2 linked regions of the Drosophila melanogaster genome follow. The gene in region 1 interacts genetically with each later gene. Each region holds a gene or a part of one and is shown in the gene's direction. Other genes may lie near its edges. The genes, in order: dan and ss.

The links.
Region 2: of dan (region 1) and ss, changing one suppresses a phenotype caused by changing the other (phenotypic suppression), as found in Drosophila melanogaster (one study listed by BioGRID).

What each region holds. Positions count from the first base shown.
Region 1 is NT_033777.3:25,182,342-25,187,482, forward strand, and holds the start of dan (distal antenna), read left to right. Parts: upstream 1-2,041; 5' UTR 2,042-3,088; intron 3,089-5,141. UniProt on the Drosophila melanogaster protein: Probable transcription factor with a role in the retinal determination (RD) network. Regulates ato expression and is required for normal R8 induction and differentiation.
Region 2 is NT_033777.3:16,400,530-16,405,461, reverse strand, and holds the start of ss (spineless), read left to right. Parts: upstream 1-1,771; 5' UTR 1,772-2,044; exon of another isoform or gene 2,045-2,066; intron 2,067-3,117; 5' UTR 3,118-3,566; coding exon 3,567-3,622; intron 3,623-4,932.

The sequences.
Region 1 (5,141 bases):
ATGTGCGTCTGTGTGGGTAGCGTGTTGCCAAACTGCTTCAGTGTGTGTCCAGTGAGTGAGGCTGCGGGTGTGTGTGTGTGACGAAATGAAGCGACCCGGGCAGGCTGCTTGGCTTTTTAGTGGCAAGGATATGTTTCTTGCCAATGCGGCCCCATGCCGGCCATCTATACTCGTGGTCGTCCGTAGTCCGTCGTCCGTCGTCCGTTGTCCGCTGTCCGTATTCCGTAGTCCTGCGTTATTGTTGCTCCTTGTTGTGTATACGCCTCTACTTATATGTACGACTACACTATATCCTTGGGCCTGTGTTTTCGTGTGCGTGTGGCTGTGCGTGTACGTGTGATTGTGCGTTTCGGACATGGATTCAAAAACCTTTCTTAGCGATTTCCCGAAAGGCAGCAACTAGCAACTCTGGCGACACTGCTGCTGTCTTTTTCGTTGCCGTTGTTGTTATTATGGTCAGTGGCCGCCTTCGTTGGCCAGATACAATAGGGAAATAGGGAGCTATGTATGTGCGATTGTGTGTGTGCTCTGCGCAAATGTTTTGCATAGCAACTACTAAGTCTACGACCTCAAAATGCCTATGTGTACACACGCATTATATAAGATCGTAATCTCGGGGCTATCCCACGATGGTGCAAATACTTGTCAGGTTTTTCTTCTCTCGCAGAACTAATCAAAATACACTTTGACTTGAAACTTGCTTGGGAATGATATCAACAATCTATTTAACATGGTTTTTTATTCCTACCTAGAGCTTATCAGCTCGGTAATTAATATTACAAGGAACCTAAACATCTTAATGCGTAACCATGTTAAACATTGGTGTATACCAAGCATTGAATATGTTGTGCACTAAGTATATGAATATGTATGAATATGTCGGCACTTTAATGGAAAACATAAGTTATTGTCCTGCCTACCTATATACACTACAATTATATTATTCTTGGTAGCTAAATATGGGAAATACATATTTTGAAGCTGGCTATCACCTGAAATTTGCAGCTGATTAGTTTCTTGTCCCACAATTTGAATTCGATTATTTCGCCATCTGACATTTCTAAACCGCAGCAATTTGCCTGCAAAAGTCGATGGAGAAACAACCACTATGTCATGCCCATATCTTTGCGATCGAGTGTCCGTTCGAGAATTCCGGTTCCTTCGGCGATCGCCGGTCACGCTCCAGCGAAAAGAGCGACGAAAAGAGCCAAGAAAGCCACTCTGTTGGACGGATTCGCCTTGTTTTCAAGAATGTGGGTTTCCCAAGGGGGGTTTCCCCGTGGGGTCACCACCTCCTGCCGTCATAACTTCGTTCGGTTCGGGCGGCAAAAAGCCGAAGACGAGGACGAAAGCTGCTCTCTCACTGGCTCTCTCCCTCTCTCTCTCTCTCTCTCTTAAGGAAGAGGATGTTCGGTTCTCATTTGCCTCAGCTCTTTGCGAAACGGTCGCGAAAGAGAGGCGAGCCCACGTAATCTGCGATGAAGGCATGTATCAAAACAAAGCGAGGAAAACTGGCCGCAATCACAACAGCAACAACTGCAGCACATGACAGCGGGAAAACTAGCAGAATTATCAGTGACGATAAAAGGCGCACCCCCTACTGCGAAAATTAGACAGGGATTTCGGCTAGGTTTTTCACGTTCTTCTCGCAGATCCGTTGCTCGTTTGATAGTTGTTGCCCAGCGTTTAAGGAAGCAGAAAATGGCTTAGCTAAACGCAAGCAAATGCCTCCTGAGGTTGCACACAGTCTTACACTGGAAAAAATCTAGATTTTACCTAAAACTAATACAGAATACAAGGAAATATAAGCTTGGCAGAAAAGTAATATATACTTTTCATCACAAGCGATCGTATCATCTATTCGTTTATTTGTATGAAATTTCATTTTCATAGTTATAATCATGGAATATATGTACATAACTAAGAGATACAAAATTGCTAAATTATTATACTAAATTTCGAATTCTTACCAAATTTAATAACATTATCTTTACTAAGGTATCAAGATTTTTCTCTCTGTGCTCACACACACACGTGGGCGCAAGAAAGGAGGCCGAAAAGGATGTGCGTCTCTCAATCTCAAAAAGCCTAGCACGAGTATTGCGTCGTCTTCGTTGCACACAGCTGTGTGTCCGCACGTGTGTGTGTGTGTGTGTGGGAGGATGTGCTGTGTTAGTATGTGTGCTCGATATGTGTGTGTGTGAGTGGACACTGGCCTGTGGTTGGGCCGGCCAAAATGCGAAAATGCCAAAATGCGAATATTGCGAACGGGGCAGCCAAAGCGAGAGGACTTCTTCGCCGCCGTCTTGACCGTTATTAATCATTGTACATTTGGCTGTCACCGAAAAAGGCCGCGAATTTCGCAACAGTGAGAGCGAAAGAGAGCGGGCGAAAGAGAGTCCGAGAGAGGGAGCGAGAGAGAGCGACTCACGCACACGTGAAAGAAACAAAAACGACAACTACAAAACTACTAATACCAAGGCAGACCAACTGACCAGCACACAACCACCACTGCAGGACGCATATATCTGCGAGTGTGCTTGTGTATGTGAGTGAGAACGAAACGCCGCATTTCGTGGACGTGCGACTTTAAATTTCCCGTGACGTCGCCGCCGTCGTCGCCGTGCGGAAATTCGCCGCGCTAAAATCAAAATTCACTCAAGTCCGCCGCGGTAGTTTGTCGCCGCACGCTAGCCGCTCAGGTTCGCACATCCACGTCACAGCGACGCAGCGTCACAATATCACAATATCCTTCGACGAGCGCGAGAGAGAGGTCGCACCGCACCGCACCGCATGTCCTGCCGCTAAAATTCGCACGCCACAGCAGCGGTAAACATCACGCCGCATCGCGAGCACAGTGTTCGATTGTGATTGACCGAGTGATGTTATACTTTCAAATGAACAACAACATTAACTGAAAACAATAAATTCAAATCCATGTGAACTATAAGTAAAGTGATTTAAAAACATCGCCGGTCGAGATAAGAATAATTTAACTGCTGCAAATAGTTGCGCTATCACCGAATTTCTCCCGCCTTCGCTGGAAGAAGGCACCGATCCATTTTCGCCCCCGGAAGATAACTAAAAGGTTAGTATTTGATTTCACCGGTGAATTGAGCAATCCGTAAAGTGTAATTGTTAGTTCTGCATTAATTAATAACAGTTAACTGAGTGTTTTAAACACAACTTGAAGAATTGGTGACACAAGAAAAAATATTAAATAATCAAAAAATATTTATTTAAATCGGAAACCAAACATAAAAAGTTTTTCGAGAGATTAGTTTTGAAGATTTATTGTTTACCTTTCTACATAACAAAAACGAATTATTTTTACACAATTTGGAAAACAATATAAGTGCAGTTCTTTGTGTATTTGAATAGTTGCCACATTTTATAAATTAATAAGTACAAATCTTAGTAGGTCCTTCAAATAACAACTTAACAACTTTTTTATACAAAAGAGCAGGAAATATTTTACGAGAAAGTATTTATTCATATTTATTTATAATAATATTCAGGAGTGATAGATATTGTGTATAACATTAATATCTTATGTAATTTTATTATTTACCTCCTAACACTGCGTTAGCAATTACTTAAATTTGCTTTCCATCAAAAATTAATATTTTTAATTTTTTATTTAATTTTTTTACCTCCGAGTTTAGATTCAAATATTACTTTGTCCATATGATACTTGGTTTGTAAAATAAGCTTGAAAAAATGTAAATTTTATATAACTAAAGAGTTTTAGTTAGATTTCCTTTATCTACCAAGTTTATATTGAATTGCAATATTAACAAACACAGGAAACCGGTTTTATTGGCCCCTTAATGTATGCAATACTTTTTGATTGTATTTATGGTAAAAAGTTATTTTCCTATCCGTTTAGTTGTTGAACGCTTCTGTGTCACTATTCTCATCTTGTTTTATAAATTAGAAAGTATTTAATAAAGTTGCTTATTATTATCTTTCTTATTTTTTATTTTATTTATAATTATATTTTTCTCGTACATCATTAGCATTTCAGTGTTGTAAAACAACATCATTCATAACATCACTGATATTTCAACACTAGGAAAATTATCAAAGGATTTACATATTTTTATTTATTTATTATATAACTGTAATTCTGAAAATCGATTCATTGTTTAAAATAGTATTGCCCATACATGAGACCATAGTTAGATAATTTGATAAAGTTCATATTGAATCCCCCGACAATTAATAAATTCGTTCCACTGCGAAATGCCGACACAACATTAATCGGGCTAATCATAAACGAAAACACACAATAAAAAAGGTGCAATAGTGCTTAAAGCCACATAGATCATTGGTGCCAACAGGTCCAACATTACAGCAGACACATGGTTTATTTGCACACACTTAACTGCGGTGAGGGAAGCATCCCAGACATCCCAGACACACACACACTAACACACGATTGGGTTTGGACCAAAGCAACTTTTTCTTTTATCTACGGAATTCTTATTTTTATGTGTTGCCTCGTTTTTGTGTTTTATTTCTTTCTGCATTAGCACAAACGAATGGAGCTATCAAACGCTTGCACATATTAGTACTAGTTTCAGTCGTTGACCTCCATTTGCCAGACTCTCCTGCCCCCCTTCGCTTGCCCCTCCCCCCGCCTCGCTCATCCCGACCCATCCCATTTGACCCTCCTTGGTGTCCTTGCCACATTGCCACATGCATTGCCCCTCTGTGTCTGTGAGTGAGTTCAATACGAAGCCAAAGAAACGAAAAAAATAGTAAATACAATAAAATTATAATTGTATATAGGAAAATCAGAAGCTCTTAGCCCACACACACACACACATACACACTCACGTGTACGATGAAATGGCCAGACGGTTGGCCATTACAGACATACTGACGGGTATGGCCATTCCGGCATACATATGTCCTGTCCTGACTAGGTGTGTGTAAGTGTTCGGGTGTGTGAGTGTGCATGTGTGCACAGCAGCAACATCAGACACAGACGGGCCCCTTCCACACACACTCACTCACACACACACTGACAAACTTGGTGTAATTCTTTTATATTTATTTCTTTCATCTTTTTCTGTTGTTACTAGATTTTTTACACACTTCTCACTGTCCCAGTTCGGTTCGTGAAAAGTTTAATG
Region 2 (4,932 bases), 8.8 Mb from region 1:
ATGAGAAAATAATTATTAAGCACATTTAAAAAATCCATTCAGTTCTTATATATATTTTGCTATTTTTTACAGTATTAGGTGTAAGGTCATAATATTGGCCCTCAATTTTAAAGATCAATTGATGACTGTACTTTAAAGCGATAATGCAAGAAGAGGAAAGGCAGTGCAAAATAAGAATATTTAGAGGGAGGTGGAATAAGCACCTGCACTGTGCACTTCTCTTACGAAGTGGAAGCGTAAATTGATAAGCTGCAAGCTGGAAAAAGTTGCAACGCACCAAAACTGGTTGCAAGCCCTTCCACTTTGCTACACTTCACTCCACTCCACTCGACTCAGCTCACTTATTAGTGCCACCGATTGACATGCGCTGCCTTCTGTTTTGCTCATTCTTCGGAGTGGATCCTCTTCTGATTCTCCCGATTCTTCTGATCCTGCTGTCTTCGGAGCTGCTGTTGTCCTTAGTTTACGCAGCGAGATTTGAGTGAGACACCAGACTGCTGGAGATTCTAGCTGAGGAAATATTGTTTTCTTCAGCCTTCTGACTTGGCATTGAATAGTTGCACGCAATACAAATACAGTGCCAACAATTTCGTACATGGCTGACGTCACAATAAAAGAAAAATGCTTTTTCGAAATTGAAGGCATTCTACAGTGGTCATTCGATAACAATAATAATGTTTTATTAGAGTGGACGTAAGTAATCAAATTAGGAAACCACACAAATGAACTACAATGGGCTGCATGATTGAAAGGGCTCGAATATTGTGGCTTTCCAGCGCCACCAAGTATGCAACACGTTTTCAAAGGAAAAAGTTCATAACGTAACATTTCGCCAACTTTTAAAAATAAACATAAAATTATTTGGTAAATCACAGTAATCATATTAATTACAAAATGAATAGCTTGTATAGATTGTTATTAAAGTTAATTACAATTACTTATTAAAAACTTCTTTATGAGTGCCAACTGTACCTTTGACGAGTGCATCTCCATCGCCATCTGTGACATGCGGTCAAAGACGGACGCAGCATATGGGCCATGGGATAAAGGGGCCTCGTACACTGTCCAATCGGGTTCTTGGGCACGGACATTTTGCCCGTCTAGGTGTAGGAATATGATTTCTGGTTTTGTGCAGGGCAGCGGTGTGCATTTCGTTCTCCTTGTTCTTTTGCGGTTGTCAGGTGGCACATGTGAATAAATCATTCGCGATAAGCGCGAAGTGAGTGCTCATGTTTATGGCCTTAATGGTTTTGGTCACACCAAATAAAATTTGCATTTCAGTGGCAAAACGAGGTAAAATCCGGCTCAGATAAGTTTGAAATAGGAGAAGAGTATGGCGGATAGATGCCATTGAGCGATAACACTGATAGCTCTTAATTACCGCCTAATTAATTAAGAGATGAGCGATGTGCCCCGAATTTCTATTTCCAGTTGGTAGTGCGCTGGAAAGAGTCGGCGCTACTAGGCTGTCAGTGTAGTATGTGTGTGCGAACACGCCCCCTATAACGAAACTACAGGGTGCGAACGAGATAGCTGCAGCACTTCCAAGACCGACTTGGTTGGTCGCTCCCTTCCAGTCGCACGTATGGCGACGCTGGAACGGTTGGTAGTGGAACATCGTTCGCTCTGTCTCACTCCCACGCGACCGCGTCGCTTGGCGATCGCTCGTTGCCAGGACGACTGGAAGTGGCCCCAAACACGCCGCCCGCGTGTTCCATGGCCAGTGTGTTCCGCCAGGACTGGTTTTTCCATTCGTTTCGTGGCGCCGCTCAGTTCTTGTTGGAATCTCAAAGCGTTTACGTGGCCGCAGCGCAGCAGAGTCACGTTTGAAAGAGTGCGAGTGAGAGATAGCGACTTAGAGCACCGCGCCGAGTGCGAGTGAGAGAGCGCGCTCCATCGCCTTTGTGCCTCGTTTCAAATGCCCGTTTGTCCGTTTTTTTGGCACTGTTGTTCATTCATTCACTCGCTTCTGGCGCTCGCGTGCAGTTGCAGTCGCTGCTCCCTCCTAACGGTTGTTTCGCCGTCGCCAGAATCCCGCTAAAAGGTGCGTGCGTGTTTGTGTGTGCGTGAGTGTCCCCCGAATAAGGCAATACAACAACAATAGAGGCGAAAACAGAAACAAAAGCGAAACGCAGCACGCGATACCCTGTAACTGGAGGTTCTGTAAAGGCTTCGAGGAGTCACGTGTGCGAATTGCAGACCGCCGGCGGTCATTCACTTCTATCTATTTTACTATTCCAACACACCCACGCGCGCGTGTGTGTGTGCGTGCCTGAAAAATGTCACTTTGACAACTCGCCTCTGGTTGCTCTGCCGGCGGATCTGCCTACGTCGACGTCGATCGTGCCGCAAAATGAAAATGATTTGCGTGCCGTTCTTGCGTTAGCGCTTTTGGTTCCGTGCCGATTTTGATTTCCTCTGTTGCATGCGTCGTCATCGCAAACATCGCCCATTGATAAACCAGAGCCCACGAGCAACAACACTACCAACACAAACGGCAAAAGTGCAAGTGAAAAAGCAAAAGTGTTGCCACGAAAGAACCAAAACAATAACCTGCAAATCGCAGCCACTCGAATCAAAACAAAACAACACAAACAACAACTCGTTTTTGAAAGCAATTGAAAAAGGATTGAGGGATTTTTACAGTTTTCTGACTAGAATGTGCCATTCAAATTAATCAACACTATTGGTTGACTCTGATGTTTAATAACTTGCTAACATAATCTGTTATACTTTTTTAGTCCTTTGTGAGAAAAAATTGAAACAAATTTAAATATATTCTTTTTATGAATAATATATTTTCAAAATTTACCAAAATATAATTTTCAAAATAAAGTAAAGCCTTAATATCATATTATACTATTCTACAATGCAAGGCAAAATCAAATCGTATTAGACAACGGCTCCATGACATTGCCAACTTAAACTAATTGGATTTATTTTAGATAAACTGAAATCATTCTCCGTCGGGACTAATTACTTAAAAAATCTATTAGGTTGAACCGAAGTTATCGCCTTAGAAAATCATACAACCCACAATCGAATGAAAAAAAAAATCAAAATTCCCAGCCTTTCTCAATTGCTGAATCACAGTTTCGCATTAAATCCCTCATTTAGCTCTAACCAACTGAAACTACAGTGCAATATACACAAAAAAATAAAAAACAAAAACAAAAGGAGCGCGAGAAATGAAAAAGCAAACAAAATGTAAGCGTGATGATAATTAAAAATAAATACAAAGAAGAAAAAAACGAAATTTACGCGTGGCTACAACTCCGAAACCGAAAACCGCAGCAGGATCTCAGCGGATCTGATCGCACTCAGCTCCTGGCTGTGTCTGTGTGCGAGTCCGTGTGTGTGAGAGTGTGTACCCAGAGCAAGCCAAATCAATAAATAAAAACCAATTACAAAAGGAAAAAAAGCGAAATAAGAAAGCCACGACGAGGAAACAACCTGTACGACAGACGAGCAGAAGGCAGCAGAAGACAACAACGAAATATTGATACGAAAAATAATAAGAGTTAAAATCATTCACGACGGCGACCATAACGAACTCCGCCCTAGCAATGAGCCAGCTGGGCACCGTCTACGCCACCAAGCGAAGGCGACGCAACGGCAAGAGGTGAGTCCAAGCCCCAGTCCAATCCCACAAACCAATACCGATCCGAATCCCAAGATACAGATACGGATACGGATACAGATTCAGATATAAATGCACAGCGGGAGGCGGAATGTTTGTGGAGCGGGTTCTTGGGTGCTCTGTTATTACTGAAAGATTTCAATCAATGCGATTGGCTGCACTTACCACTTACCAGCTTGCCACCTTGTGGCGCCACCCGCTGACGATCCATCAATCTCCGTAGCTACTGGTCTTGAATACCCCAGATTCGATTATTAATGATCCGGTGGCCACTTTGTTGACAAATTGCCATCGCCATTGACTTTTGACTTGGCCCTCGGATGAAATGAAGGGCGGTGAATTCCCCCTTTGCCGCCCGATAGCCTCAAATTGATTTGCATTATGCATGTCGGGGCAGGTTACCGTGAAATTACAGTAGCCAAACAGTTGATGGAGATGATGATGAACGGTCATGCTGATGATGATGACGATGACGGCGGCCCCTCCGGCTGTTCGCTGGGGGAGATCGGAATCTGCCTGTCCCAAGGTGCACATAATTTCTGATAATTTTGTGTACTTAGCTGCTGCAACCGCACAAAGCATAATGTTTTCAATATAAATATATGAGAACTCACGCATTATCATGAGCAGCACTGCTAAATATGCAGAAGGCGAGGAGCGGCAACTGCAGCCCGGCCACGCCCCCTCGCCAAGTGCAGACCACCGATCGCTAATGTTGCGACCCCCATAATCAAGAGCCACTGATCAGCTTCAGCGCCTCAGTCTTGAAAGGGTGCAGAACGGGGCAGCTCAGGTCTGCGTAGATTATCTTCGGAAAAGCGAAGAACCAGGATCTATTTAGGATAAGCACGCAGTTGATAGATTGGTTATCCAACTCATCTAATATGGCGTGTAATGTTCGTCTACTTAGTTGTAGTCGGATTAGTAAACCAGTTATTAACAGTATAGCTCCATTTCAAAGATACTCTACGGGGAATATTTACTATTAACCGCTTAGCTTTAGTATTAAAATTTTACATTAGATGTTTTAAAAGATTTCGATATAGACCTTATAGATAATAATAACTTTATATGTTATTATGATATTATTTCTATTAAAACTTTACCAACTTAAACTGAAACATTTGTTTGTACAAGGCGTTGTGCACTTCAGAGTAAGTTCCTTGTGTGCAATTTAATTCCCCTTCTCCTTGAATTTCGTTTTTATTAAAGTTCCCGACTACGCCGTAAAACTTCAACTTAATACGTTTCACCATCGACAGGCAGTCGCGTAATTCGCTGTTCTTGCTAGT